Linked DNA regions of Lytechinus pictus. The protein of the gene in region 1 purifies or fractionates together with the protein of each later gene. This does not show direct contact. Links are inferred from orthologs where the notes say so. Each region holds a gene or a part of one and is shown on either strand. Other genes may lie near its edges.

What was found.
Region 2: the proteins of tetratricopeptide repeat protein 4-like (region 1) and protein HGH1 homolog purify together in Homo sapiens (co-immunoprecipitation; 4 studies listed by BioGRID and IntAct, counting the BioPlex papers as one, with this or other methods). This does not show direct contact. The link is inferred for Lytechinus pictus from reciprocal best matches to the Homo sapiens genes TTC4 and HGH1.

The regions. Positions count from the first base shown.
Region 1 is NC_087255.1:18,773,252-18,790,525, forward strand, and holds the start of tetratricopeptide repeat protein 4-like, read left to right. Parts: upstream 1-9,255; 5' UTR 9,256-9,275; coding exon 9,276-9,366; intron 9,367-9,947; coding exon 9,948-10,109; intron 10,110-11,477; coding exon 11,478-11,623; intron 11,624-12,298; coding exon 12,299-12,355; intron 12,356-12,944; coding exon 12,945-13,031; intron 13,032-14,210; coding exon 14,211-14,428; intron 14,429-15,553; coding exon 15,554-15,644; intron 15,645-17,030; coding exon 17,031-17,113; intron 17,114-17,274.
Region 2 is NC_087246.1:20,735,510-20,752,360, forward strand, and holds protein HGH1 homolog, read left to right. Parts: upstream 1-8,877; 5' UTR 8,878-8,997; coding exon 8,998-9,670; intron 9,671-10,230; coding exon 10,231-10,421; intron 10,422-11,273; coding exon 11,274-11,516; 3' UTR 11,517-13,073; downstream 13,074-16,851. Other genes in the region: serine/threonine-protein phosphatase PGAM5, mitochondrial-like, read right to left, coding at 3,160-3,310, 4,823-4,956, 6,272-6,486, 6,966-7,138, 8,467-8,651.

The DNA.
Region 1 (17,274 bases):
CGATTTACGTGTAAGATAATTTCTGTGTCTATTCTTTCAATTGTAGTGTCTTTGATATGAAGATAAATCGCGCGCCCTCTTTCGCTCATTAGACGAAAAATTTGAGAGCTAGAAAGGTAGCTCTTGTATTTTGTGAACGAGAAGAAAAATCAACGCTTAAATGACGCATTTTGAGGGATATTCATCAAATTATGAGGAATTGACTTCACATCGTTTCGTAAGTTTCGTAGGAGGACTTCATTCTGTAAGTCCTCGTATTAATTTTTCGTAAATTAACGTTATTTGTTGAATGCGCCGTGCCTTCAATTATTCTTTAGTCGGCGGCTGAGATGTAGCCGTGGGTGATTAGAATCCAATGTCATGTTATAATCGATTATGAGACCAATTTACCTCCTAATCGCTGCTGCCGGTGTGCGATAGCCAGAGGCTTGGTGATAGCAGTTTTGTCGCCCTCTACGTTCGTGAGCTAATGAAGAGGCCCCGGCGTCAAGCAGGAGATCGATCAGGAAATGGATAAAGGATGGAAGGGGGAGGGGGATGGTCCCGTAGGGGGGTACACGACTTGTCCAATATGATTGATGTAGTAGGAGGGGTGAAGTAATGTCAGGTGATATGATAATCAGAGGAGTTTTAAAGGAAAGATATATGAAGGAATCAAAGAGGGGGCGCGTGATCGAGGATATGTGCATTGGTATATAATTATGTTGATAATGTTTATATGTTATTTAAGGAATGATAGTCGTTGATATGTATACATGGATACATGTATACAAAGATACTTGGATACTATTATATTACATACATGTTTGGATATGGATACTTGGAAACATGGATACGGGGATACTCGGATACTATTGGATACGTGGATACTTAGATACATGGATACGCGGATACGTGGATACTTGGATACTTGGATACTATTGGAAACTTGGATACTTGGATACATGGATACGCGGATACTATTGGATACTTGGATACGTGGATACTTAGATACCTTGGATTATTGGATACATGGATACTTGGATGCGTGGATACGCGGATACGTGGATACATGGATACTTGGATACTATTGGATACTTGGATACTTGGATACTTGGATACATGGATACGCGGATACGTGGATACATGGATACGCGGATACTTGGATACTATTGGATACTTGGATACGCGGATACATGGATACGTGGATACTTGGATACTATTGGATACGTGGATACTTAGATACCTTGGATACATGGATACTTGGATGCGTGGATACGCGGATACGTGGATACATGGATACTATTGGATACTTGGATACGCGGATACATGGATACGCGGATACGTGGATACTTGGATACTATTGGATACTTGGATACGTGGATACTTGGATACCTTGGATACATGGATACTTGGATGCGTGGAAACGGGGATCTTAGATACTATTGGATACTTGGATACATGGATACTGATGCGCGGCTACGGGCTTATGCCTACAGGAAAACTTGGATACATAGATACTTGGATAAGAACATCAAGGAGTTTTTGATACTCTGGAACATGGAAAACACATGAAAAAGTGCATGATACTAACTGTACTTTTAGAACGAAGCATCACACACCCTAATTACCTTATTTTCAGTTATTATCATTGACATCATTTTTAATCTGTATTTTTCTTGAGAGAAAGAGATAGAAAAGGCTACCGGTACTTTAATCAGTAGATAGTTAAAGTTGGCTGCTCTCTTTATAATTGTAACGAGACATATATCACTTCCCTAAGCCCATATGATTACAATTTGACCAATTAATCTTAATCCCTTTTAGGATTGATTTTATTTAATTAAGTTGATTTCAGTCAACAAAATCCAAATAAACTATTTGGATTATTATAGATTTTTCAGTCAAAAGAAGGCTAGTATAATAACATGTACAAATATGCAGCTTAAAGGTCAAGTCTACCCAGAAAATCATTGATTTGAATCATTAGAGAAATAAGAAACAAGCCAATTTTATCAAGAAATGGATGTGTAATAATAAAGTTATGACATTTTGAAGTTTTTTGCTTATATTTCGCAAAACAATTACAATCATGTACAACTCAGTGATATGCAATAAGACAAGAGAAACAGAGAACAAACAAAATAGTTAAGTAAGGGGATAATAAGAACGATATACCACACCGAGATGTTTTGGTTATATTAAAATGACCAATCAATTTCAAAACATGTCGCATAGAGACATATTTTACATGGTTACAATTCGACAAATTAATTTCACTCCCTCCTGTTTGTGATTGCAACGCGACACATCATAGGGCCTATATCACAATCCTTTTTTAAACAAATTAATTTCATTTTCATGTCTTGTTGCAATTATCTCATTATTTATAAAGCGCTAAAAAACCAATTGTACTTACATGTATGTAAACGCTTACAGATTCGGTCATCGGATTTAAGCAATCATTTCCGCAGACAACGTATGCAAATCCTCCACTCCCTGAGAGTATCTCAGGCAGTCGCATATGAGGCGCACACAGTGCTGGACAATGTATAATGAGTAATGACATGAAGCATAAATTGGATTTGATTTTAATTAGTGGGTTGTTATGTGAATGTCTCGTTCTGATTATAAATACGAATAAGTATTCTCTAATATGACTCGTTCTATTCTTAATTTTCAACTAAAGACTGAAGTTATAATATTACAAAAATTGACATGATAATTGAATATTTTGGCCAGTTTTTGGAAATACAAATTAGAATTTGTATTAAAAAGGTCTTAATTTTTGCTTGTTCGCTTCGCACCCTCGTAGCTTTTACGATCGCTTCATATTATTTCATCATAATAAACGCTGCACATAAAAGCAACGGTTTTAAGCTATCATATTGAAAATAAAATGTGGAAGACGTTTAATCTGAAAGTGAGAATTGATTGTAAAGAACATTTATCTAAAAAGATTAATAGTGACATAAATGCATTTAAAAAAAAATTTTATTGCGTTTTTCTTTTACGTTTTTTCTTCCTTCTTTTTTTCTCTCGTTATTTCTTTCTTTATTTATTTATTTCCTTACTGACTTAATACATTACTTCATTTAATTTCTTAAATTGTCATAGACTTACACTAACAGATAAAGAATACATGGAGAAAAAGAAAGAGTATAAAAACAGAGAGAAACACAGACAGAGAGAGAGCGAGAGAATGAAAGGGGAAAAATGAGACAAAAAAAAACCAGTGAGAATGTATAACTAAGTGGCCAAACTTCTTTCACAAAGTTTGATGCGACTGCTTGTAACCATGAAGTGTGCAACATATAAAAATTAAAATAAATATTTGCAAATGAACTTAATTGTAGAGGCCTTCTCAATTACGATTGTTTCATATTATTTCATTATAATATACGCTGCACATAAAAGCAATGGTTTCAAGCTATCACATTGAAAATAAATCTTGAAAGGGGTTTAAAATGAAAAGTAAGAATTGATTGTAAGAACATTTATAAAAAAAGATTTAACAGTGACAAACTGTATCTTTTATGTTATTTTACTACGATTTCCTTTCACGTTTTTTTCCTTTCTTTCTTTTTGTTTTGTTTCTTTCTTTCGTTATTTCTTTCTTTCTTACTTTCTTTCTTTTTTCTTTCTTTCTTTCTATCTTTTTTCTGTCTTTCTTTCTTTCTTTATTTTTTTCATTCTTTTCTTATTTCTTTCTTTTCTCTTTTTATTTCTTCCTTTTTTTATCTATCTTCTTTCATTCCCTTTCTTAGGACCTCTCTTTATTTCCTCCTTTTCTCTGTCTCTTTCTGTATCTCTTCCCTAAAAATTTCAAGCTTTTCCTCTGTCTATGTCACTATTCTGTCTCCTAAGTTCATAAAGAAGAAATACAAAAAAAAAGCAATTGCAAGGTTTAGAGTGATATATCAACCAATAATGTATACGAGTTTTGAATTAAAAATTATGTACCGGTATTCTAAGTATCATGCACGTATTCTGGGGGGGGGGGGGGATTTTGTGGCCCTTGCCCCCGGGTAGGCAAAAAGGGGACGCCAAAAGGGGAAGGAGAGAGAGGAAAGAAAAGATTAGTAAAAAGGAGGAAACAAGAAGAGAAAGAGAAAGAGAAAAAAAAAGGGGGGAAAAGAGAGAAAAAAAGGGAATAGGAAAAAGAAAAAAAGGAGAAGAGGAAAAGAGAAAAAGAAAGGAAAAAGGGGAAATAAAAGAAAGAGACGGGGCGCCAAATTGATGTTCGACCTGGGGACGGGGGCACCATAATGTCATGAAAGAAAGGCACCAAATTGACCATAAACAAGAGGGCGCCAAATTGACAGGTCTGTAATAAGGGAGCTCCAGACTGACCTTAAACTTGGAGGGGGCGCCAAATTGATGTTTGACCAAGGGGGCGTCAAATTGTCCTATAAGGAGGGGGTATCAAAGTGACCTTAAACATGGGGGCACCAGGTTTATCTTCTACCCAGGGGGACCCAAATTGACCTTAAACTCTTAGGGGGCGCCAAATAGATGTTTGACATAAAGGGGGCGCCAAATTGTCCTGGAAGGAGGGGCACCTAATTGGCCTGTTACGGGGGGCGCCAAACTGGCGCCAAATTGATGTTCGAACTAGGAGGCGCAAACCAGACCTTAAACTTAAGGGGCGTCAAAGTAACTTAAACTTAGGGGGTGGGGCACCGAGTTAATAATTGACTGGGGGCGGCAAATTGTTGTGTAAGGAGGGGGCGCCAAACACCTTAAACGCAAGAGGTCACCAAGTTGATGTTCATCCTAGGGAGTGCGACAAATTCACCTTAAACTTAAAGGGGCCACCAAACTGACGATAAATATGGGGGTACCAAATTTTCCAGAAAGGAGGGGCACCAAATTCACCTGTAACGGGAGGCGCCAAACTGACCTTAAACTTTGGGGGGAAGGCAAATTGTCCTTTAAGGAGTGGGGGACAAAATGACCTTAAACATGGCGGCGCCAATCTCAGGATTCACAGGAGAGGGGGACAATATGACATTAACTTGGGTAGGGGGCTCAAAATTTTTGGTTGCTATTTTTTTCCTTTTTCCTCTCATTTCCAAATACATTCTTTGTTTGTTCTTATACTTAATGTCACCTTCTCATTTCTTTTGTTCCCTCTTCATTTATATTTCTTTCACCCTAGTAAACGCATATAAAGAATGAAACAGATATAGAGAGAAAAAGAGACAAAAGACAATAACAAAGAAATGAAAATTTTAATATTTGTCTTTTCTACCTCTCTCTCTCGCGCTTTAATTACTCATTTTCGTTTTAAAGTTTTTATTTACCTTAAACTGTTTGTCATTCCGTTTTCCCTTCCATTGTACATGTACCTCACTCTTTTACTTTCCTTCTATACAATTATATTTAGTTGTCTAATTCAATGATCACTTTCTACGTTTTTCTTTTCTTTCTTTGCTCACACATTCTCTGTCCCTCTCTCTCTCTTTTCTTTTTCTTTCATCATTTATACCTAATTATCCCTTCTTCTTCTACTCCTCTGTTTTTTCAATCTCTTGACATCCTATCTCTTAAATATATTCAAAACATAACAAATAAACAAAATATAAATATCTTTCATAAACAAAATACATTAAACAATTTATTGCGATAATTCTTATACACTACATTTGCAAACAATTAAAGACATAATATACATTATGATTCTACAATACATGACTGTAACATGAATCATTGTAAAAAAAAATGATAACAAGATCTTTATAAAGTACTTACAAAATATTTATAACGAATCTTCTAACTTTATTCTACATATACGTCTAACACTAAAATATAAAACATATCTATCTAATACAAATGAAAACATAAATAACGCAAATAAAAAAAGAAATATCTATGAAAATATATAGATGTAGTATCAATTTAAACTTGAACAAAAAAATATATACTTAAGAAACAAACTAACTGTAAAATCGCAAACAGATGCAAAAAGACGTCTAACACTAAAATATAAAACATATCTATCAAATACAAATGAAGACATACATAACATAATCAAAATATCAATAGAAATATATAGATATACGTATCAATTTGCACTAAAAAAGAATATATTTAAAAAAAAAGTACTGTAAAATGGCATACAGATGCAAAATGTACATGTATGACATCAATCAAAAAATAAAAAGTACTATATAACAAAAAGAATGGAAATAAATTCTAACATGACAAAAGAAATCTCCACATACAGGAAATACATGTAAATGGATGTCAAAATATCTATAAAATGTATACATTTACGTATCAATTAACACTTACAAAAATATATATCTAATGTAGAAAAAAAGTACTATAAAATGGCATACAGATGCAAAGTGTACATAATAACATCAAACAAAAATAAAAAGTACTACATAACAAAATATAATGAAACTAAATTCTACCATGACAAAAGAAATCTTCACATACAGGAAATATACAATTAAAGTCCCAATAGTCCATCATACTCCTCCTCTACAAACTTGCCAACGAGTTAAATTTTTTCATCTTCTCCATGTCCTCCTCCAACTTTCTTATACGTCCATCTTGATACGACATGTACGAAACAAGCGATCCAACAACTTCTCTCAGCCGGGACGGCGACGAACTCAGTTCCTGAATAAGAGGTAGCACTAGAGTGTTCAACTTGACTTCATTCCCATTTTCGTCATTTGCCTCCGAAGTTCATGCATCGTCTTTCTCCGAAGAAATGTCCTCGTACAGATCGTCTGTACTCATCTTTTCTCCAACATTGTTGTTCTTGTCCATCATGTACATGGGGATGTCTTCTGTAGCTCCCGGATCCGGAGTATATGTATTATCACCATTCATCTCCTTTGGCCTGTCTATTCCATTGGTTACAGGTGAAGGAATGTCCTCTCCTAGTAATTGCATAATGAAGTCATCATAATCTTCTTCAAAACTAAGTTCTGCTGCCAGTCCGGCCATTGTTCCTACAAAGTACACTTTAAGTTCCAAAAGCTAACGAAATTGAGGGTGAAAAACTATATAGGCCTAATCAATAAAACTGACCAAGTCAAGAGATGTCCACGAGCTTTGTAACGTTTATCAACTAATGACGCTAATTAAGACCACAAGCTTTTTAAACTCTTAAAACATAACAGTCCAGTACATAAAGACACGTGTGCATTGTATTCTACCGAAAGCAAGAATGAGTCTCACGCCGGTCTCACGTTCATGCCGGTCATGAACTTCAATAGATTACTTAATCACTATTCACTATATAGTACCTAAATCTTAATCCCTCCTTTAAAAAATTTGGGGTATTAATCTTACATGGTAGCCCTATAGTCTCAAAGGCATTACAGGTGGTTCTTTATCAATGAACTGAAGGAATTCTGAAGTGACATTTTAGTTTGATTAACATATATTAAATCAAATTACATGTGTTGTGCAAGCATGTCATATTTCAAAATTTCCAATTGTTGAAAATAAGCGTATCTTTAAATGTCATAACTTTCTTATTTTATATAAATCACTTAAAAATACATCAATATCGAACAAGTCACTCTATAGCTTTACTTTATTTTGGTGAAACAATTATACGTGGTTCTTCATATGCAAAACGCAAGCTGATGATGTCACATCCCCACATTCCTTTTTCTTATGTTATTTCATGAAATCTTAAATGTTTTTTGTTTCGTACATGTGTAAATGATGTGTCTCCATTATAATGAAATACGTTGCAGCAATAAATAACTAATGCACTTAATCACTTGTCAATCCAATAGGTTTGGTTCTTGGAATGAAATTTTTTAACTTAAACTTAATTTCATATAATAAAATACAAAAGAACAAGTGGGGATGTGACATCATCAGCCCACCTAATGAATAATCATGAAGACATGCCCAGAACTGTTTAACCGGAATAATGCAAATATTTAAAATTCAATAACTTCTTTATTTGTAATCTAATTTTGATCAAATTTTCAGCCTATTGCTCTGTGAATTTTACTCTATTTATTTAGATATAAATATCTTCGGCCTGGAGCATCCCTTTAAGCACTATTTAGCTCATGGGCGGAAGTCCCAGGGGGGACGTGGCCCCCCTACCCAAAATAGTAGGGTGGACACAATATCAAATGTCCCCCTACTATTTTCGGTCTTTTATGACAGAAAGAAAGAAATTGAAATAAAACATGTATTTTGTATTTTAGATGAGAATTAAGACCTTACTTTATTGGGTGATGGGTGATAACCTTTTTTTTTTTTTTTTTGCTTATCAGGGTCTTTTGTGGTGTTGTGGTGGTTACATGTTCGATTTTTTTATCCTTGGGTAATACCACATGTGTGCCTATGAGGATGAATGGGGTCAAAGGTCATCTATAGGTCAAAAGGCCAAGTTTTTGTTTAACCTGCTCTCATTTCTTTTTTTCTGCATCAATTATGTCCACACTTGGTTTGTGTGATCCTTGGGTAATACCACATGTGGTAAACTTGACAATGTGGAAATTTGTAAATTCTGTTCTGAAGATTCAATTTATTATCTGAACAAAATGAAAAGTAGGATCAGTCGTTGTAGAACATGAAAGGAGGCTAAAAGCCAGCTCAACTCTCCAAATTGTAAATAATCTTTATTCATTGTGCTGGAAATTTCATTTTGGTGGCAGGATGCAATTTAAAAAGCCTGTCTTTAGTTTTGGTAAATCCCCCAAACTGTGCACTCTTCCAATCCATTACAGTCCGACCTCTCTTATCCATTCTCCCCTTATCCGGATCTTTCTTTTATCCGGACGCATGCTTGCTGATATTTGTTTTCAATCTAGTACGTGGGGAAATGAGATTTCAATCTAAAATCAAAATTCCTACGCAAACTCACTTTGCTGTACATGTATACATTTCCCAATAGAGTCTACCTACAACCGCACTACTTTTTATGAAAATATCTTACCCAAATCACTGAAAGAACGTAGACAGGATAATTTTCCAGTAAATCAGGGCACAGAACAACCACTTTATCACGTTCTCTTTTTTTCAGGAAAAAAAAACACATGTCGTACTCCGTGATTTTTCTGTTGTTTGGTTTGTTTTTCATGAATAAATTTGCACATTTTATTCATAATAAATTTTAAAAATTAGTTTTGGAATGTCTTTTTATACTGGCTTGTAGTTTATGTGGTAAAGAATGTGTGTGTCAAATTTCGACATAATCGCATGAACAGCGGCCGAGATCACCCCCCAGTCCTCAATACATCTCAGATAGCCAAGTTTATTTTTTGTTCTGTTCATTGCAGGAATTTGATAAGATTCCACTTTTCATGAAAGAAGCTCCAGAGAATATTGAAGATTTTCCCGAGCTTCAAGCTTTCCAGCAAATCAAGTATGCCTCCGAGGAGAGTACAAAGGAAGGTGAGAAACTTTGATTATCACTGGTAACTGTTATAAGCTACTGAAATCCTTGCATCTGATTGGCTGAGAGCAAGCTTGTTCATGAAAACCACTGACAAAACTCTTCATGAAATGCTCCCCTTGTGTCCTGCTTCTCTTTTTCCTTTTATACTATTAGCTATGTAGAAGAAGTGTTGATGCTGCACAAAAATTATCTGTGATTGCATTCTAAGAAAAAAAAATCATCTTTTTTTTTTTAGCTGAACAGCTAAAATGCTGCATATTATTACAGCATACATTGGACCCTATTTCAGGGGCTCTTTTGTTTAGTTTTCCAGGCCTTAGGGGGCAAATTTATGAAGTTCTGAGTTGGTTAAAAGCAGTGAAAAATAGCTGAAACAAAGCAGCATTTGTGGTCGATAAATTGTAATACTTTTCATAATCAACAATATTTTGGTCATTTTGTGTTGATATATCAGCATCATCATAATACCATAATCAAATATTCAATTTTTTGTCTTCAAAATTGCACAATTTTGATACTATCAAAATATCACCCAGTACTATTCCACAATCTTTTCACTCTTCTAACTTATCTCTAGATAATGCGTTGACTCACAAGAATGACGGTAATCAGTGGTTTAAGAAGAAGATGTACAAACCAGCCGTTACTGCCTACACCGAAGGTCTCGATCAGAAATGTGCTGATAAAGAAATCAACGCTGTCCTCTACACAAACCGTGCTGCAGCTCATTATCATCTTGGTAGATATTTTGCTTTATTATACATACATGTAAGGTTCAGTTCTGGTCGCAGGATCTTCTGTTCCTCTATGTCCAGCTCCTGGTGATAAACAGAGACGTCTGAAGAATTGGCGCAGTCTGGGGGAGGAACCTTATAATCAAATTTTAATTCTATATTATGCCACCAAAAATCAGTCCTCTTTTCAACTTGTATTTCCACATGTCATATAACACAGCAACAATAATTTATCAATACATAACAGTAGTTGAAATACCACTGAATGAAATTAACAAAAAGCAGATGAATCACAAAAATGAATATTCAAATTGTAGACATTTGTTCATTTATGGGATTATTTTTCTTATGGATAATAATAAACAAAAAAAAGGGAAGTCAAGTGATAGTGATTTGGGTGACCATCTACTTAAGGACAAGAGCTTGAAATAGATGAAGGCCTCAAAAGTAAAGGGGAGTTGAGAGAAAACAAAGTATAGTGCAATAAAAGAGGCTTACCTCTCATTGCAAACAGTAATAGAGAGACAAAAATGATAAGTAAACAAAGAAGTGAAAAAGGAAGAGAAGTTAAGTGAATACAGAGTATGTAGATAAAGTGTAAAACACAAGATAATTTAGTACTAAATTATTAGACTTCACAATTTCCTTCAAAACCTAATAACTTATTCATCATATGTGATTTGAACACAAGTGCTGGGTAATCAGAGTTCAACTGAGAAGTGAAAATCCTCCAAACATTAACACAAATACTACAGAACAAAAAAATCTTATAAAAAAATTATATAACTCTAATTAAAACTTGATCATTTTTGGAAGGCTGGGTATATAGTTAAGTTACTGAAAAGATGATTATTGCTAGATAATTACAAGACAAATTAATCTATCAAATATATTTCTGGTAGTAGGTATGGTAAATAATATGTCTGTTTTAAGTCACGCATATCAAATACATTCACCAAAATACTGCATAAGTGAGAGTGTAAAGAAGTACCATGCAGAAATCATAAAAATAAACATCTTGTCCCGTATTCCTATATGTTTAAATTTAAAATCTGGCGTAAACTTTTGGTTTAACTATGGATAACCAATTGTGACATAGATCTCTATTAAACAGTACAGATCCAAAGTATCAGCTCTTTTGACCCATGAATCATTCATAACTGTCGGAATTAATAACTAAAGTAATTTTCTCCACATTAAAGCATGAAGATAGAACACAGAAAACTTAAGAAACATACAATGTTAACAAATTTTCAAGTTTATATAGTACAGTGTTAGACCATGGACTGTTAAAGCTGTAGTTCAGTTTTATACTTTTCCTTTATGCAAATAATTTTGATGGGTATGTACTTAAATGTGACTTTTTTCCACAGGTAATCACAGGTCTTCATTAAATGATGCCAAAGAGGCATTGAATCTTAAACCTGACCATTTAAAGGCCCTCAACAGGACCATTGACTGCTGTATGCAACTCAAAGAATACGGAGAAGCCATCCAATGGTGCGACAAGGCTCTTCAAATATCCTTTTCAACATTTTGTTAAATGGGTACCCTGTAGGAAGGAATTCCTTGAATGCTCAAGCGTCCGATCAGGATAGCCGTGCTAAAGCCGAGATAATAGTATGCAGCGCTTAGAGACAAATGTCATTTGTATTAAGCACTATATAAATGTCGCATATTATTATTATTAAAATAGTATACCCAGCTTTAGTAGCTTGTGTTATTGAAGATATGACTGTTTTAGTTGTCAGTGAATCATTGAAGTAATCATAGGTATGAATATTATATTTCTGATGACACTGTATCATGACTCGGTACTTGGTATGATTATTGTATCATAAAGTGTAAAGAATCTCTCTTTTTCATCTTATTAATATCAAGGTATAACATTTATTTTTCTGATTATACTGTATTCATAACCCATCAGTCATTGATGACAAAGTATTGAGAATAATTATGTTTTTCATACAAAGTGACAAAAATATTTTTTTTTCAGATAATCATATAAAAAATAACTTTTTTTCCCATGAAACATCCTGCAATTTGAATCACTTTTTTTCTAATGTGATTGATTAAGTGGGATGTCCAATAGGGGACATATTTTTTTCTGGTATGTGCATCTGTACATCAGAATTTAATGAACCACAAAATGGTCCAGAGTGATATGTCAGGTGATCCTTAACCAAATGAATACATCTATTCCAGTGATAAGAAAATTCAGGATCTTAGGATACAAGCATCAAAACTCAAGGTAATAGAGAATTACAACTACTTCAACTTTGACAGGATGGCAACTACCATAGAGTACCAAAGTGTGACGTCAGTTGCTGGTTCTAAACAGTCGTAGCTGATGGTCGTCTGACAAATATGTTGCAAGCAATCAAATTCAGATAGCAGCCATTTTCGCCTATGAGAAACACATGCTTTCATTCGGCGGGTTTATTTGTTAAGAAAAACCATGGCAACTGACGTCATCGCTTCGGTACTCTATAGTGATAGGCATTGGCGGCGGAAGCCAAAAATTGAAGGGGGGTCCATCTGAAATTTTGGGATGGACACAGGTAAAAAATTTGACAAGCAAAAAAAAAAAGACTTGTTAAGTTACAACCAGCCTTCTCTAAGAATGAAGAATAATTTCTTTTTCTATGATGCACATTTAACTCATTGGCTACCATTTAATTGTAGAATGACACATACTTTCCAAAGACTCCTGCCAAAGTTATTTAGGGCATAGGGCTCAAGTGTTGATTCAATGTCATTTTGTAATTGATTTGCTGATTTCCCCTTTCATTTTTGGTATCATGACAAAATGAGTTTCTCTTCATTTATTCTTTTAACAGAAATCAGCAGACAAAGAGAAGAGAAAGAAACAGCTAGAGGAGAAGAAGCAGAGGGCTGCGGAAGAGAAACTCATCGCAGCTTTGAAAGTAAGATCATAACTGCCTTTCATTTTCATAAAATGTCCTATTTCTCAGATTCCCTTATTTTTTTCTCCTGCACTCGATTAAAAACTATTCATTAAAAAAATGATCACCGAATGGTTGGCAAGTTATTATGGAACTTGGCAGAATATATGTCACTGATTCTTAAATTTTGTGCATAAGTTTCTTAATAGACATTGGTACAGATGGCAGTTTAGTGAATTTACTCCCCTTGATTGTAGAGTGATAGCATACTGTACAGTACTTTCTGACCAAGGACCTAAAACTGAATGAATGAATGAATTTATTTATTATCCAATGCAATGATAATAACAATTTACAAGTTATGAATACGTAGAAAAGCAAGGATAATAGGAACCAGAAAATAGCATGAATGCTAGTCAAGCCTGGCCCCTTCTACTTTAGGCAGATAGAAACATGTTTCTTAACTTGTTAGTTAAGAATGAACAATCGTGAGTCTACTAAATATACTCTATATTATATAAACAATGCCTACATAACAATTTTAAGAAACACTAACCGTATATACATATGAAAGGTATATAGATGATAACAAAAATACCGTATAGATGATAACAAAAATTCATTTTTCCAACAGATGTTCAACAACAGCTTTACAAATACTTGACCTTGATGGTTTCTTTCTGATTTCGATTGGTAGCTCATTCCAAGAAGTTGTGCCTACATAAGATAAACACTCCTTTCCCAAGCTTGTCCTAACCTTTGGTACATACAGATTCTCATCTTCCTTTTGCCTTGTATTATGTAGAAGCAATGAATCTTGAAGCAATGAAGAGTTATGATTGATCTAATCAATCTCAACTACAATGTATATGGAAATCCATCCATACCATAATTTTTTCTACAGGAAATGAGCACAATCTCCCTAGTAAACAAAGAGAATCACACTGAATATTAAAGAGAATGATGAATGTCTGAATAAACATATCTAGAAAATATTTTGAACAAATTTGCATTTTAGATTTAGACGTTGTTTGCCGTCCATAGTTGTGGTTGATCGGATCAATCACAACACTTGGTAAGACGAGGCTTTGATTTCACTAGAAATAGAATTGGGTATTCATGTTTGGTGCAGTTGATTATAATTCACTTATTTTCCCGTAGGAACTGACATTTTAAACATTATCCATCTTTCTTTCAAAGGTCCGGAATCTTCGCTTTGTGAGTGACCCCGTCGAGGGGCAAGACGGGGAGCCTGAAGAACAAGCCAAGGCGTTTGTAACCTCGCTGGTATCCAACGAACCCTCCGGGCGTCATATGGTCAGCCTGGACGATGAGGGCGTGCTTCAATGGCCCGTTAGGTTTCTGTATCCAGAGCATGGCCACAGCGACCTCATCTCAGCATTCAATGAAGATACAAGGTTCGAGTTTTGAACTTTCGTAGTAACAAATGTCAAAATTTTGGTGTTACTTTTCTTTCTTCATATTTTCTCTTTCCTTCTCCCCCCTGATTCTTATCTGGTATATGTTTTTTCTTTCCTTTTTTTCCATTATGTTTTTTTTTGCTGATTAGTCATCTTTGTTCCTATCAGTCTATTTACATATCTTTTCATACCTAAACGGGAAGTTCACCCTGACGAACGGTTTGTTGTAAAAAATACCAGAAAAAAAAATTGGTAAAAATATGAGGATAATCCATCAAAGATTAAGAAGATAATTAGAATTTTAAGTTTTTGATTTGTAACGTCATGAGAGTAGCTGCCCCATATGTTATGTAATATAAAATGCATAAATCTCAATTTTTTAATGGTTCATGATGACTGCATGTAAATATTTGTTACTCTCAGAAGTGGATGTGATATGATTTGTCTGTTGATATACTGAAGTTACAATTAAACCATTTTTATTTTTAATGTAAAAATTACATTTCATTGATTTTTACGGCACAATATATGTGGAAGTTGCTTGCATATCATGTCACAAATCAAAACATTGAAATTCCAAATTTTAAAAATCTATGATGGATTTTCCCCAAACCTTCACCAATATTTTGCATTATTTTTTCCGACTATTTTTACAATAGATTTTTCTTCAAGGTTGACTTCCCCGTTAATGCACACTCATGCACACATTGTACAGGACCGAGATGGAAACAAAAAAATAGTATCTTCTGGTATTATTATCCTATATATACATTTGAATGAATAAATGAAAAGAATTTTAAACATGGCGTTTGTTGCTTATATTGCTGTACATAATTTTTACTGTTATTTCTTCTTCTTCTCTTTTTCTATCTATCTCCCTCTCTCTCTCTGTCTGTCCCTCTCTTTGTTTTCTGTCTAACTTTCATTTCTTTCCATTACAGTATTTCTCTTCACTCTTCATCTATTTTTTTTCACCTCTTCCTCTTTCTATTTTTTTTTCGTATCACTTGTCTTCCCCTCCACATCCTCTCTATCTGCATGTACCCTTGGCTGGTTACTTGTTATACAGCAATAACAAATAAATTTAGGATTTTTTCTGTTTTTCTTTTCTTCTCTTGTTAGGTTTATAGACCACCTAGAGGTGATGTTTTCATCGAAGGAAGCCCCTCCTGAATGGGACCAAGAAAGAAAATACCAGGTCACTAATTTAAAGGTTAGTCATTCTTGGTCTCGGTGAAAGGTTTGTGAAGTTAGTATACTAGGGCCCCCATTGCGTAAAGGCCCGGGGGGGGGGGGGGCACTCGACCCAATATGTGGTAGGTATGTGCCACTGCCACTCAAACCGGCTCCACAACATTTGCTCCAGTGACAATTGCCCCGCTCTAAGTTTAAAATACTAAACAAATGACCAACTTCAACCCTGAGTTTAAGACTATACCCTACCCTTAACCTATCATAAAACCCTATTGCAACCCTAACCCTACATCTTAGACGAAATTAAGCCCAGAGCAATTGTCGCAGGAGCTAATGTTGTGTCAGGCTAACACCAATATGTGGTAGGTAGGTCAAAATTAGGGGGCCTTGGAACAGCTCATCATGAAAGTGGGGATCCCTGGAACTTCTTAAATGTTCCAAAAAGACAGTCCCTGGAAATAAATTTAAAGTTGATATTATGACCTGGATCTAATAAACATGAAAAGTTACAGTTTCCAGGAACTAAATTTTGATGAACACCACAAGATTTTGTTTGACTTGGGTACCAAAGTGCCCATACCATTCAAACATGTGCCAAAACTCTACACACTGGCAGCTTTACAGACAGAGCTAGAGCATTAGTGCTCCACGGAGCTCAGCTGATGGACGGTGTGTTTTTCGCACACACAGCAAAGGGCATGAGGGAAGAGGGTTGCGCGATCATCCAATCCACAGGCTAGGGATTCCGTCTACTGCAATGGTATGGGGATTCCTCTCTGTGTGGAGCGTGGCGGAAGGAAATCTCCAATGCCTCAGAACAGGTTTTCTTTGACACCCGCCCATGGATTGCAAATGGTATGCCCTGGTATGGAAAATTGAGTGTAAAAACGGCCCCGTCTTACAAAGAGTTGTGATTGATCCGATCAATCACAACTATGGACGGCCAGCAACGTCAATATCTATTATGCATGTAGTTCAAAATATTTTCTAGCTATGATGCATATTCATGCATTAATTGTTTTCTTAAAAATTCAAGCAACTTTGTGCAAATTTCCTGTAGAAAAATCTATGACACTGATGGATTTCCATAGAGTTCAGATTGATTGGATCAGTTGTAACTCTTTGTAAGACTGGCTCCAGGAGACTCCTCTGTACATACCCATTTTCCAAAATATACAAAGCAGCCCCCCCCCCCCAGGCGTATAGGTCGCTATTAACTTTACCATATAAGGGTTACTTCCATGGAATCCTTGATTTTGATTCGCTGTTGAGAAAATTTCTATACTCCCAAAAGTTTCAACTTGGGCGAAGTTACCTGTTTACGTTTTAAGTTCTTTTGAGTCATTATTCCTTTAAAATCTGAATTTGGCATCGATTAAAAAGTTTGTGTCTGTTTTTTTTGCAGGTGTATTTTGAGGATTATGACGAGAGAAAGCTTGTTGAATTGAATGCAGATCTAACCTTGAAAGCAGGATTGCAACATCCAAGGTAAATGTTAAAGTTTATATTCAGTTCTAGTAAATTCCCCCCCAAAGTCACTACTCCAGTTCATTCCTAATTTATATAATAATGATCATTATAAACACAGCATTTATTATGTGGCCATCTAACAAGTTAATTAGTCTGACATGAAGAGGGATGGGGGGAAA
Region 2 (16,851 bases), on another chromosome or scaffold:
ATCACATTTTCAATAATATAAAATCCAATCTTTTTATGATATTCTTCTTGTTAATGAAAATAAGAATAACAATAACTGGATTTATAAAGCGCTGCGATAACCACGGCCTAAGCTGTGCTGCCCATATACATGTAGGTGCTTAACTATTCAAGAAAATTTCTTCTTACCGGGTACCCATTCACCTCACCTGGGTTAAGTGTAGCACAACGTGGGTAAATTTCTTGCTGAAGGAAAACAAGCCATGGCTGGGATCAAACCCACGTCCCTCAGATAGAAAGACAAGAGTCATAACCACCAGACCACAATGCTTCCACTAACAAGCATTTGAATGCAAAGTTTTAAAATTTGTCAAGATTTCAAGATAATTATTGAAAGTTCGCTCCAATTATATCAAAATCTGAAATATTTGCACAAGAACGTCACTTGTCATGCGTGAAGTCATGCATAACTCAGGGTACAAACAGCTTATAAAAACAGCCCCAGGTTTATGCACTTAAAACAGATATTAATGATTTATTTATAAAAATCTATAATGGTACAAAATACAGTTTGGCACGCATTCATAATATCAATATATCTAACATTAAATGAACAGTTTTTCCTGTATTCTATTTCATAAAGAGTTGTTATAATACCTAATGTACAATTTCTGTAACAAGTTTACTATAAACCAATCTAATAGAATGATTTCAGTAGCTTTAAACTGTTGTTGCAAATTTGTTATTGTAACAAGTTTTATGAAGCGGGCCTGGGACTATGCACAATATTTAAAAATATGTAAAACATTGGTGGTCATTTCATTTGTCAGTCCATCAAATGGGCCCCACTATTATAAATTCCCGCAGGCTAACCTTTTAAAATAAAGTATCTCTAGTTCACATTACTTTTATGAAAAAAAAATATAATGCTTTGAATGTTTACAAATATACCACTTATTAGCAATCCATTTAAACAGAACCATATACAAATAAATCAACTCTACATTATACATATCATGGTAATTCAACATAAATGTTCTCCAGTAATATTTCCATCACTACTAAATTCTATTTTGAAGTAAACATATGCATTATTAGACACATACAGTACACGGAAATTATAAAGGTAAGTTTGCAGAGTAGGTACGGACACTCTAGTTGCATTAATATTATCATCAATTTCTGAATACAATGGAAACAATGCTTTTCTAGTTCACATTCTAACAAACACACACAGAAATGACACAATATTAAAAATTTTATTCCTATCAAGGGTAAACAGTTAATTATCTTGTACATTTCATTTATTAACATCACTATCAATATATGCATTTTTTCCTCTCAGAAAAAAAAGAAAAAAAAGGTTTCTTGATTCAACATTTCTGATCATTATTTTAATATGCAATAAATCAGGGAAACACATTTGGTATTTCGGAAACTTACTGAATATTCTTTGAAACACATTCACAACTGTATTCCTACTAGACCAATAGGAAAAATAGCATTTAAGTCAGCATAGTCTTGATGAAAAAATTGTTTATTATATTAAAATATAAAAAATAAGTAAATGCTACAACAGTACGAAATTGCATGAAGTGCTTGTACACATAAGATACAAGAAAAATGAAAAATAAGTAGGAAACAAATAACATCTAAATGAGCATTCTCTTTGCAAGTAAAATTAAATCTAATCTCCATTGACAGTTTTGGCTTTCAATATATTTTGCTTTACTCCATGACTCATGACTCTCAAAAATCAACTCAAGTTTAAATCCAAACTAAGCAAGAATTTCAGACTACATTCATAGAAAGCTAGATTTCTGATTTCATCTCCCTTTTTGCAATTATGTTGTACCAAAATTATCATTCATTTAATACCAATACTCTTTCTCCTCATATTTTTGTAAATCATTTCCCCCCACTTTTTACATTACAGGATTAAATGATCTACCTAGGGAGAATGAGTTGGTGAAAATTAGGAACAGTCATTCCATAATCGACAAGGGTTTATCTCATGAATACAGCCGCAGCATCTCCTTTACAAAGCATTAATCCGGATTGCGAGGAATGGAAGCCGTTTTTAAAGGAGAATGAAACTCTTGGAGCAAGTTAGCTTTTGTGAAAGCAGAAAAATCAAAGAATAAGATCAACAAAAGTCTGAGTGAAATAGGACTAGCAATAGAAGAGTTATGAGCATTTGAATGTCGAGATCACTAATGTTATGGAGATCCTCCCATTGGCAATGCGACCAAGATCTATGATGTCACAGATGAACAACTCTCCCCTTTTGGACACTGAAAATATACCCCAAAACATATCTTTTTGCTCATTCTAATCATATGACAAACGATTCATCAATGATATAATGTTGTGAAACCTCTGTACTTGTCCTCTCATAAAGAGAACACCTCACCTTGTGATAGACTCTATAAAAGTGAGAATATAAGTGAAATAAGTACTAAAGTAATGAGGGAGTTGTACGTGTGTGACATCACAGATCTTGGTCGCATTGCCAATGGGAGGATCTACATGGCATTAGTGATCTCGACATTCAAATGCTCATAACTTTCTTATTATTCATTCAATCTTCCTCAAACTTTCAACAATATGTTTCTTTGATTTTTCTCTTTGATATGGATTCAGCTGGTTTCAAGGGTTTCATTCTCCTTTAATGCAGAGTGATGTTTCAAATTTAGGAGCAGTTCAAATAAAGCTTATCAACACATTGGCAATTCAATGAATATCAAATTATAACTATTTCTGCTTTGAAAAGAAGCACATGTACAATGTAACAAATTGCAAAATATTCGTAACTGATTTTTCTCTATTTTGTTCAAATCAACTCAATGACTTGGCTTTAAAGGTAGTTCAATTCAGAACCAGCAGAAGTCAGCAACACAAGGCTTCATGAATGATCGTAAGACTGATTGTCATGACTTAAGTACAATCAATTACTAACCTGTGTGTTAGGGGCCCAAGAAATATGTTTTTTCCCCCCAAACAAGGACAAAATATTGAATGTATGTTGAATTTCATTGTTTCATATTCATCACAAGAAAAAACACGGTGGCTTTGCATTTACAGTACAGTACCTCACATTGTTAGATCCAACCAAACTGGGATAGAGCTTTAAAAACTAGATATCTTCCTGAAAGACTGGTTGGCCTGGCAAGGATGATAGTTATGCAACAGACACCTTATTAGCTGGCATGAAACCTACATCACCTAACGTTCTAAGTGAGACACGCCCACTGGGACGCAGTGAAAGCCATGTTATACTACCATGATACAAACTCATACGAAGCCAAGCCTCGGGCGGAAACTGCATCGCTCTGCAATGTGTGAAAGAAAAGGGGAAAAATAGCTCAATTACTTTGTTAATCAATCGTCTATAGTTTGCTTTAACAAAATACTATGGAAACAGTCATTAAATTAACATAATGAAGAGCCTGAATAATCAAGTACAATGCATTTCATACTGAAATGTTAACATGATTTATTTTGTTCAAGCCATCCACGATATTTAAAGATTAATTTATCTTGCAAGATGATCTCAAAACAGAGTGAACTTATCTAAAATCTAATTCCTGAAATATTGTTAACAGGCATGCAAGTAATCAAATTATATTCAATTGAAAGGTTATTGTCTTACCATATAGTATTAAAAAGGATTACATTTGTAATTGCAATTAAGACTCTCACACATCTTTATGTATTTAAGCTTTTCATTGGGTTAACACAATTTATTCAAAGGTAAAATTCAAGACTACAAAAACATCAAAATAATGGAATTCATTAAACACTTATATCATGTAAATATAGGGCAACATAGAAGCATACTCGTTGCGCTCTGTACTATCAGAAAGCGACCAAGTTCTTTAACAATTATAAACTTTAAAAAAGTAAGACAAGTTTATTTGAAGTTCGAAGGAATGCCATGAATACTAATATAAAATTCTGCTTTACTGCAAGCCTTGTGGTAAAATCCAAATCAGCTTAAAATCATAGCTGATGGCAAGATTTCTATGCCGTCACTTTGATTAGGAATTGATTTTGCATGTACATTCATACAGGGAGGTTTATAATAAGACTGGAATATTGACTAAAGATAAATGAAAGTAGTTGCAGTAAACACTGATTTCACGAGAAAGTCTGTAAAACCAGGCTTAATTGTCACTATATCATCGAGGATCTCGATCTGGGACAGTTACATAAACTGAACTTTGTGAAATCTTGAAATCTCCGCTGAAAAATGTCCACACTGAAGGTCACCAACACAGATAAGCGCACATGGGACAGCGTATTATTACTGCTTAGAATGTCGGCCCGACGCTTGGCCCGAATCCCGTGCTTATTTGCTAATTTCTCAGCAATTACACAATTTCTTCAAGAATCATTTGGCACATGTTTTTTATTTATACAGACACTTTGGTGGTCATTTAATTGGATTCTGTACAAGCTCATTTTGAGATCATTACCACAACTGGCATTTATCTTTAATCATGCATTCCACTATTCGAAACTTTGATCTTTAAGAATTTTTAAGTTGGAGTGTAAATAAACATAATTATAACAATTTTGTTAAAACGTAATAACAAACAGGTGGGTCATTCATAAAGCTGTTTGTAAGTTAAGAGTAATCGACTTTAAGAATAACTGGTAAACCTTTCTTATGCGCTAAATACTGTAATCACCAATGGACATTCAATGGTGAGTATCACTTACCACAAGAAAGAATCACCAGTATTCTTAACTTACAAACAGCTTTATGAAACGGGTCCCCAGGTCGTTGAGTGTGTGTTGGGCTTGACATGTCAAAAATAGGATCATAACAGACCAGTTACCTGCATACAAAGTATCTAATGACGTTGGCATGGCATACAATGACCTCAAAGCTATCCTTCGTCTGTTCAGGGTCAGCTCGGTGGAAGTATTTCCTGAATGCAGCCTCGATCCGAGCTCCATCCTCATAGAACTGCTAGAGAATGCCAAGACAAGGTTGTCAGCAAGAGGCAAGGGAATGTTAAAGGAAACAGATAAGACAGATAGAAAGTGTTAGCAACAAAAAGAACACATTGCAGTTTACAGAAGTACAGACAATCTCATTTATTCCTTTCTCCCCAAATTTCAACTCTCTCTCCCACTTCCTTGCTCATTCTATCCCTCCCCGTCCCTATCTCCCTCTCTTTCTTGATTTATCTCCTTCTCTCTCCCTCTCTCTCTCTCTCACACACACACACACACACACACTCTCTCTCTCTAGAGCTCTCTAAATCTATAAGACTAAGGCGCAAACAGGAAAGCCAAAACATGAACAACAAACCAGATACAGAAATATAACATGTTTTAGCACAGAAATTAGAGTAATGAACAACAGTCAAGTTTTCTGTGATGAAGATCTCTACTAGGAAAAAACATAATCAATAGGAAAATAATGCCTCTAGCAACTAACTTCCATTAAAAAGAACAGGCATCCAGTTATCAAAGGGCAAGTCCACCCCCTCCCAAAAAAAAAATGAAATAAGGAGAGAAAATCAAAACAAGCATGACAGTGGAAATTTCATCGAAATCAAATGTAAAATACAAAAGTTATGATATCCTAAAATTCTGTTTATTTTTCACAAAACAATTATATGCACAACACAATGATATGCAATGAAAGAGTTAATGATGCCATTTTTTATTTCATATTGTATTGGAATTATACAATTTTTCACTTTTTTTTAAGATTTGACAATAAAGAGACAATAGGTTACAACAATACTGATTCCACATGTAGATGTTGAAATATAACTTTGCTTCTCATGATCATGAGGAGAAAACTAAAGTATTTCATGTTTCATATCATAAATCACAAAAGATAGGCCTATAGGCCTACATGTAGTAAGCGGGTGATGCCATCAGTTCATGTTATTTTTCATGCAAGTATATGTATATAGCCGTCCATTTAAGTCTGCATGAGTCACTTAAAGCTAGATTGTGCAAAGCAATTACCTCACAAAATCATTGCCCGAGTCATACAAATTTCTTTCATCCTAAGCGATTCAACTTTAATGATAGGCAAACTTACCTGTATTTCATTAATTCAAAATACCTAATGGTATATTTCATTCATTACAATAAAACACTTTTTTCTAAAGAGGTTCTCATTCCTATCTTCATTCTATTCAGTATAGCATCTGAAACATCAAATGCTCATTGATGTTATCTAACGGGAAAAAAAACTAAAACTAATAATTACATAAAATACATATAAAAGACAAAATGATTTATCAACACAATAATGATCTCACCTTGACTTCCGGTTTCCAATGACCCACTGGTGGTTCAGGGGGTATTGGTGCACCCTCTCTCAGGAGCTCACATGATTCACGAGGTACATCTGGTAGTTGTTGACAGACAATGTTTGCCGTCTCTATAGCTCTGGCCATGGTAGAGTTGATGATGGTGGTATAGGGATGGTTCAGAGCCTTCAGTCGTTTTCCTGTCATTTCGGCTTGCTCCCGTCCTAAAATATTTCATAACGTTTAAATATTTATTGCAAAAAGTTGATATACCATTACTAAAATCCTAATCCTGCAAATTTAGAACGCACTTGTCATTGTGCAAACTTTCAAAGGTTTAGACTTTCAGTGTAACAATTATTGAAATTCAAGAAATAAGGATCATTGACACTTAATCTTTATCAATCTGTTACATTAATCTTTGGTTGAATGAATGTACAGTAATAAATAATAATAGATGGGGTTTGTAATGTGCCAAATCCACTCTGCCTTAGTGTATTATTATTCTTAATCATAAAAAATAAACAAACAAATTAATAATAAAGTAAATAAATAAAAAATAAAGGTACTTGAGGCAGTGCAGGATCAGAGTCTTGCTTTTATATTTTTCAAATGAAATAAAAAAATGTGACGCCTTGTTGTCATATTCCACTTTGTACTTCTAACTCGAGCAGAATAATTCTAGGAAGCAGGAAGTACCTACCCAGTGCAGTGAGTATCCTGACATCATCAGTGATCCCATCAGTGTTGTACTGTCCGTGTCTGATGAGGATCAGATGCCTGGTTGCTGTTGGTTTTGCTCCAGAGAGGCTGGCTGTTGGATCCTTAGAGTCAACCTCAGTTCTGGATGGATCTATCAAGCTTTGTGGGTCTCTCCTGACAATAAGGATATTCTTGAAATTAATCATTGTAGTTTTTGCTTGGAAAAACAATAAGGTATCAGGAAAAGTTAGCAAAGCCCTTTTCTACATTTACAGTGAATGAAATGACAATATTGAAATTGCCTATTCAATGATTCAGAAACATCATAGGGTCTAGCAATACAGAATTGGTTTATAAAGTTAAGTAAAGGGCCTGCCTTGGAATTAACTTGTGCACAAAAAATATTTATTTTTTAGGCATGTTCCTGGCAAAGTCAGAAATTTGGTGAAGATCATAATAGTCCCAGTCAACTGAACAACAGAGCCCAGTCAATTGATGCAGATGAAAAGCCCCGAGAGCCTGCACTTGCAATCACCCTACAAATAAAAATCGCCATACTCAGAATCCAGATAAAAAGCATGCATGCAAAGTCTAGCTTAATAAGTGAATATCAGTCCTGGCCATCCCCGCATAATCAGGGGCTGGGACAAGGCCAACTGACAATTCAAAGAAATCATCAGGTATAATGGTCATTTACAATTGAACTTCCAAGCTTTAAATATCAAAGTTAAACTTCATATAATGTAATTTAAGTTTGTCTTTGTGAAGGATTTTCAGAACACATTTTTCTTGCAGAGCAGAATGCCTCTAGCCCAACACATTTGAAGTCTGCAACCACCCTGTCTGCATTTAGTCTATGCAACATACAAAACACTCTTATTTTTTGTGTGTTCACTATCGATTCTATGATTATGAACTCCATTTGTTTGTGATCCGCTTTTCAATATACATGTAATCTTGAGACTTGAGAAATATTGCACAAGGGAGCTTGAAAACTACAATTTTGAGCATATTTTGGAAGGGCCTTCCATTAGTGGAAAGTACAAAATAGGGCACAAACCTTTCCTTTTCATTAGAAAACAAGATCAATAAAATCATAGTTTCTCTTTTTTTCTAGATATTATTATTAACAGTAAAATTTTGGTTGATAGACACAAAGCCCTTCTAACCCTTCTTCTCTTCCTAGTTTGTTTGGTTTGGCTGGTAACCAGTCAGAAATGACTATTTTTGCCACTGCTTTATTTCTCAGTTTCTTTCAATAACTCCTCCTCAATTTCTCAAACTTTATAATTAACTAAGTTTAGAATAAACGTTTTGCTAGTTAGTATTAGTAATAGTATCACTCAAGTCTCAGAGAAATGATTTTTCAAATTTAACTTAATTTGAAATTTATTCATGAATATTCTACCTCTGGATTCTAGAGTAAGGAGAAGGAACTTGTAAATGAACTTTATATTCGGTTAAGCTCCCCACAAAAATTCAGAATAGAACACAAAACTAACTTGTCCCAGTTGGAATCCCATCTGACACTTGGGTTGTGATTGGTAGTCCACGCCGCCAGAGCTGTGGGGAGGAATCCATCTCGCTCTCGCTGGGAATATTTCATTGCAGCTGCTCCAAACGCAACCCCACTTGAAACTCCAATTAAGAGCTTCGCGGCTCTAAAACCATGATTAAACGATGGCATTATTTCAATCCGGTGCAGAAAATGATTTCAGAATCTGCTCAATCAAACAATTTACCAATAAAATCAAATTAAATGGAAGATTTTCCGTCTCTGTCTAGGTTGTCACGCTACCGGAAGTGGAATGCTTTTTAATGAGTAGACTATTTCCCACCAGTCGTTTTTAGTGACATAAGCCTACATATCTACGTGCTGAAAAAGGTCAACAAAATAAAACTCCTGCGAGCGCGAGAGAAGCCTATTTAGCTATAGGCGAGTTCTGCTCTGCTGCGCTGCTTTACATGGAATAACTAGTTTCAGCTTCTAATGAATTTCTCTCTCATATTTATGATATTTCCCCTTCATATTGATGATGGCAGATGCCTCAGTTATTGAAGAACTGATTCAGTTCCTATCAGTGACAACTAGACCCGATGTCAGGGACACGGCACTCGCGCATGTGACTGGTACGACTGCAAGCAAAGAGGGGCGACTCACCATCGGGACACAGCTCTTGCCCGTAGCCGAAACTGTGGGGGAGCTTATCTGTTCGGATGCTGTGCACGAATCCCACCAAGAGCAGGCTTATCATATTGTGGTCAATTTGTCATCGGAAGATAGCTTTGCAGAAAAACTTGCCCTTGATCTGTCGTACATATCCCATTTGCTGCAGACGATCATCAATCCTTCGAGTCCTTTTGCCAAGCAAGCTTGCATGATTCTTAGCAACTTAACTCGAAACAGAGCTGGAGCAGAACGGGTCTTAAAAATTCTTCAACATGATGATGATGAAAGTTCTGCTGTTGGAATGAACAAACTTGTGGAAGCGTTTTGTAAAGAAGGTTACAATAAGAAGAACTCGAGTCTTGACTATGTTGGACCTTTATTAGCCAACCTAACTCAGCTTACCGAAGCAAGAGAATATATCTTAAACAGAGAGCGATGCATTGTACAGAGGTTACTTCCATTTACTCAGTATAAATTATCAATGGCCAGGAGAAGAGGAGTAGCAACAGCATTGAGGAACTGCTGTTTTGAAACTGGTAATGATTGGAATTAAGGGGGAAAAAAATCTTCAGAAAAGTTTATTTATTACTTGTCCTTGTCAGCAGTCATGTTATTCGCATTTAGTCACGTCTTTGTTCATCTATGAAGTGGAAGTTTGAAATGACCTCTATCGTGATTCTAAATGGCAAAATTTAGGTTTTAGGCTCATATAAGTTTTCCATGTATGCATATTATTTTAGGTGATGACACTTGTCACTTAACGCTTTCTCTTAGAACGTTATAGAAGTACAATGATCTGTTATTTTCTATTTTTTGTATCGATAATGAAGTGAAAAATCAAGTATTACATTCTTGGATAAATTCACAAATTCTTCTTTCTGAGAGAGAATTTTATAGACATGGATGCACAAATAGATACTTATTCATATGTTTTTGTATAATTGTAAATATATAAATATTGTGTACATACATTTATAATAATTTTTTAATCCTTATCCTTACATTTGCCAGCATTTCCATTTGATATATGAGCCAAGTATATTTTCTGAATTAATCTGTTTTCAAACCATTTTTTATCCCTTCAACTATTACTTAGCATCTCATGAATGGTTGTTAGGAGATGATGTGGATATCTTGCCCCATCTCTTGCTACCATTAGCTGGTCCTGAAGAGCTGAGTGAGGAGGATATGGAAGGATTACCAGATGATCTTCAGTATCTTGAGGAGACAAAGAAGAGGGAGGATGATCCTGATATTCGTGCTATGCTCTTGGAAGCAATTTATCAAGTTAGTATTTTTCATTTTTCTTTTTTTGAACTTCTAGATTTCTTCTTTTTTGTGCTAAAAATATTCAGATAGTGTTGAAATTGAAAGAAAACTGTAACCCCTTGCTATAAAAATTGTTAAGAATGTATGTAGACTATTACTGAAAAAATGACCCCTTTTCCTTAAAATAAGTCGATAATTCTAATGATGGAAAAAAGATTAGGCCCGCCAATAGTACCTATCTAATGATGGATGGATACAGCTTCCATAGTCATTAAATGCATGAAATATATGATTTTATATATAGAATATCATAGTAATTGATAATTTGTTTATTATTCTTCCTGATGAAACTAGATAGTCCAGTGATGACTCTTGAATGTCTTCAATAGAGTATACAATTTCAGTGAGAAATACAAGTTCATATTTGATATTTTCAATTTTGAGTTACACATTATATGTAACGGGTTACTTCAGAAATTAGTTGTTCAAATAAATAATTATAATAATAGATGCTTATATAGCGCATAATATTCGACAGAATCTCTGTGCGCTTTACAAAAGAGGTAAGTAAGTCTAATACAGGTATACTTGAAATAAAATACATAAATACTAAATGAAAGATTAACAAAACATTGTAACATACCTTTCCTAAACAAAATAATCTAACGTGAGAACAAGTCCGTTTTTAAAGATTTGAGAAAGGTGGAAGTACATGTGATGGCCCTCAGATTATTAGGCAGTTTATTCCGCAGTACAGTATATGATTTAAGTCTATGGATATTTTTCATCTCCTTTCATGTAGAATGAAAATACATCAAGTCTTGGTTAACACAAAATTCATTATTAAAAGTTTGTCGTCATTTCTTTCAGCTCTGTGCCTCAAAGGAGGGTCGGCGGATCGTGAAGGAAAAAAGGACATATGTGATCCTGAGGGAGTATCATCAGTGGGAGAAGGATGAGAAAGTTGAGAGTCTGTGTCATCAGGTGATTGATGTCCTCATCATGGATGAACCGCTACCAGGAATGGAGAATCTTAGGGATGTGGAGATACCGGAGGAGATCAAAGTAAAACTAGATCAAAAGAAGGAGGTCGAGGACCAGCAGAAAGATTAACATTTGATTTTTTAACTTAGGGTGGCATTAGTTTTTAATTATTTATAGTCTGTGTCATATGTTCAGATGTGTCTTTTGATAAAGGATTAAAGATCTAAGCAAATGAGGATTATGAAAGGAATGAATTTGTTAATAAGATGCCAGGTGGGTGTTTCATAAAGCTGTTCGTAAGTTAAGAGCGACTTTAAGAACGACTGGTGATCCTTTCTTGTGGTAAATGGTATATTGAATTGATGATGGTTTAGCGTGTAAGAAGGGTTCACCAGTTGTTCTTAAAGTTGCTCTTAACTTACGAACAGCTTTATGAAATGGCCCCCAGGGATTATAATTTGATGAAGGGGAAGTTCACCAGAACAAAAAGCTTTTTTAATGAATGAAAAAAAAAAATAAAGAGAAACATATTAACAAAGGTTTCAAGAGAATCCATCATACTTAAATAAAGTTTTTAGATTTTAGATTTTGTGAGGTCACTTGAAGGCAGGTGCCCCATATTCATGTATACATTCCATATATTTACATTTTTTAATGATTGATAACAGAATATTCATCTCATTGAAGCACATGTGATATAATGTATGATGATATTGAATGCACAAGTATATAATTTCTTTTTTAAGGATTTTATGGAATCAATATCATAGCAAAGAACTGCTAATGAAATTATAATTCAAAAGCTCATAACTTTCCTCAGTGGATTTTCACTAAATCATCATTAATGTAATTCTGTTTTCTAAATTACTGCTATAAACAACTTGATTTCAGCATGTTCACTGTATGGATGCTACACATAGAATGAATACATTCTCAAATTCTTATGTTTATGGGATACTGAATGTTCAGATCATGATCTAAGATCGAAGATTACCTTAAGTTGATGTAATTTTTCCCTCTTGAATAATGCAATGTTTCTCAGTTGCATGGCCAAGTCCTCTCTTGTTTGTACTCTCTTCTTTCCTTTCTACCCAATTTTTAATCAAATTTCCCTCCCTTTTTTTTTCTTCATGACTTAAAAAATCATGGGGGGGGGGGGGGGGTTCTACCCACTGTCCCCTCCTGGTAGCAACGTCCTTGGTACACTCCTTGTAGCAAAGTTGTTTTTCTGAAATCAGTAGCTGACATGTCTGAATTCTGTTCATTTCTAGATATCTTCATATTTTAACATATCTGTCTCACAACCTTTATTCAGAATAATGTATGTTATTCAAAATTATGTTATTGTATCAATGTGATTGTTCAGATTACAAATCCTATGTTTACACTTATGAATTGTTCAAATCCATTTGAGCTAGATCAAATAATCTTCTAGCAATAATTGTATGCTGTAATCTCTCTTTTATTTAAAAGAAATACAAATTATGTAATAAAATTACGGAAATGCTGTCATATGATTATTGTTTCCCATGTTATAATAATACTTCTTATATACCATTGCCTATTAGCTCAATTTGAGGAATATCTTCTACCTATATCTATTAAATTTATTTGGAAATGAAATGGTAAAATTGGTATGACCAGAAAATAGAGAAGAAAATAAAGCAGAAAGTGGCAATTTTTTTTTTTTTTAAATTAAAAGAAAGATATAGCTTGTATGAATGTTTGGATTGTTGTCAAGGAACATGGTTGAATGTTTAGAGCCCCTAACTTGACTTGGCGTTTTTTCATTGACTCGTTACCTCAACTTGGGCCGATAACCTCACTTGTTCCCAATTTTAGTCGGGGGAACGAGAAAGTAACTTGTGGGAACGTGTTACGAAAAAACGTCATGACACCTTAATAATTATGTATGATTGTGTGTTTACAGGTGAAAAGAAAACAAATTAGAAGATGATAGAATGAAGAGAGAGGGAGAAGGGGTGACAGAGGGAGAGGGGGTGAGAGACAGAATGAGAGGGTACATATGTCATTATTTCCTTCATCTGGAGCAAAGCTCCTAATAGGTTTGCGCCCTCATAAGACCCATATTTGGCATGACCCTCATCCGACCGCTAAATTGGAGAAGTTAGTTCGCACATATAGGTCCATGGTTCGCAGAACTAATTAAAGAAATAAAGAAGAATGCATGCATGGTAACATTATATACACATCGATCGTAATAAACATGCAGCTATTATCCAGCCGATTTAAAGATGTGTTCCCTCAGCTCTCACACACTGTATTAAATTTGATCAGTTCTCGACTAACGCCCCTTGATTCACTCGTCCATTGACTCATTCATGTCATTCATTATTATGAATATATAAACTTATTCATTTGATTTATGTGTTTGCTTAAATTCGTAAATAAAAATGAGATTATTTAATTCATCTATTATTAGTTTTCCTCTATCCGTATTCATCGATTTATCTATACATCTAGTTAGTCTGCCTTTCTCCACAATTAAAACAAAATTAAACAACATGCCTAAATTTTACGTTTTTAGTTCGTGAATTTGCGGTGTTTCTTTAAGAGAGTTGATTAGCAACAATATACTATACTTTTCATATAGATTCGACAACCACACTCCTTTTGATAACATTGGTTTGTTGGATATACATGTAGCTTTTTTATTTATCTATAAAAGAAAGGTTTATCTATAACTTTATCCATCCAGTAATCCATACATCCATCCTCCTATCTATCCACCAATCCCTCTATCTATCCATCTATCTGTCTTTCTATCTACCTTTCTATCTATCTATCCATCCACGGAGTCCAACTATCGATCTTTCTATCTGTCTATCTAACTAGCTATGTTTATAAGGTTTAAACAATAATAAAAAAGTTCAAGCAACTTGTATTTAGAGTGAGGGCTTAATAGCATGCTTAATAGTTTTTTTTTAACATTCTATCTATCTTTCTTTCTATCTATTTATCTATCTTTCTATCTATCCATCCATCCATCTATCTATCTATCGATCTCTATATATCTTTCTATCTATCTATCCATCCATCCATCCATCTATCTATCTATCTAACTATCTATGTTTATAAGGTTGAAACAATAATAAAAAAAAGTTTAAGCAACTTATATTTAGAGTGAGGGCTTAACAGCATGCTTATTAGTTTTTTTTACATTCTATCTATCTATATATCTTTCATTCTATCTATCTATCTGCCTGTCTATCTATCTATCTATCTATCCATCCATCCAACTATCTATCTATCGATCTATATATCTGTCTATCTATCTCTATCTATGTTTATAAGGTTTAAACAATTAAAAAAAAAGTTCAAGCAACTTGTATTTAGAGTTAGGGCTTAACAGCATGCTTATTAGTTTTTTTTACATTCTATTTATCTATCTATCTATCTATCCATCCACCCATCCATCTATCTATCCATCCATCCATCCATCTATCTATCTATCTATGTTTAAAAAGTTTAAACAATAATAAAAATAAGTTTAAGCAACTTGTATTTAGAGTGAGGGCTTAACAACATGCTTATTAGTTTTTTTTACATTCTATTCATTTATTTATCTAATGAGGAGAGTCTTTAACAGAAACTTGATTTCTTTTGATAATCCCCAGGCATTAGCTGGTGTTCTTTCATTTTTTTCACTTGTATATTGTATTATAGATATTGTATGATGATTATTTTCAATGTACTAAATTGATTATTGTTAATGTGTACCTGGAAATGAAAATGAATAAATAAATGACTAAATTTATCTATCTATCTATCTCTATCTAACTGAAGATATAGGACAATACTAAAAAGTCAAATAAGATATTGTCATTACCATTGTCGTCCCACACAGGTGATTAGTAGACCTATAATATAGAATGGAACGCATGCTGCAGCTTTGTAGCGCAGGTAAACAAAGCATAGTAAACCTCATCAATTATTCAGTAGCTCTAATCCATTGAGAGATTAGACGCGGTCTTGTATAAGAGTCTTGCAACATCCTCTGCGGAGAACGACTCGTGAAGGTGACAGCTAGACAGGTCGTGTCCACGAGAGAGATTCATGGGTGGGGCTATCCCCTGGGAAAGGTCCCACTGTATTTTTCACGACCGCAGAGGTACACGTCCACGGTTGGATGTAGTGAAAAAGAAGAGAGAAAATTAATGATTTTAACAGTGAAGACAGTACCTGCGAGAGTGAATCCTATATAATGTGACAAATAATGACAATAATAATGTTAAAATGATAATAATCTTTGGTGTCGAAATAAACAGTGCTCCCGCCTCACTATCTATGTATTGTTTGATGTTGTATATATTTAAACTTTGATAATGACTGCGAAATGATCATACGTTACACATTATATGATCAATAAAAGTTAAAAGATGAAAAGAAGATAATGATAATGATAATAATAATAATGATGATAATGATAATAATGATGATAATAGTAATAATAATGATAATAATAACAATGATAATGATAATAATAATAGTAATAAAAATAATATCAAAATTAATAATAATAATAAAATTAACAATTCAATTCAATTTATTTATTCAACCATCATCAGGTACAAACAATTATTATTGCACAAATACATACCAATATAGATGATTATATACAAGTACAAACAGAATATAGAGCAAAAAAACGAATGATGGTGTGGTGACCCCGGAGAAAGCAGAGCTTATAAGGGGCCATCGAGTTAAAATATACACTGGAAATATACAATAAATAATGATAATTACACTAAGTACACATTAACAATAGTAATAATAGTGATAACAGAGAAAACTGTCAAGTTATCATTCAGAGCCGCGTAATAATTGTCGCTTTACAATGAAATTAAATAACAAGGTTATTGTCAAAGTCAGAGGCAAGGAACGACCAAAATATAGTATCAGATGGTCATTATTAGGTTTTTATACACGGTTCAAAGGGAACGAGGCTAAGATACTCCCAGATCCATACCTCCTACAGAGGCGTCGATCCTGGAGGGGGGGGGGGGGGCGATCGCCCCACCAATGAAAATATTGGGGGGCAAACATATCGTTTTGCCCCCCCCCCAATAATTCCGCATGCATGTGCAAAAATAAAATAATAGTGCAATATTACACAGAAATCAGCAAGCGAGATTGAGATACACAACTCGTTCTTAATTTAAAATCGTGCTCACAAAATGTCCGCTTTTCATATTGGAATATAAAAATTTTGAGCTCGTGCTTCGCGCTTGCATCATTTCTGTAGCAAATAACCCATACTTTTCATGATTAAATAGGTGAATAGAATGCCCCGTTCTCAGTTCTAAACCTCAAGAGAACCCCCGCTCCGATTTGCAATAATTCTTTTGTTGAATTATTATGTGTTCTTTATTAAAAATTATTATATGTTCTTTATTAAAAACGTCTATTAAACTGTCAATTTTTTCAGATCAAAATTTTCAGC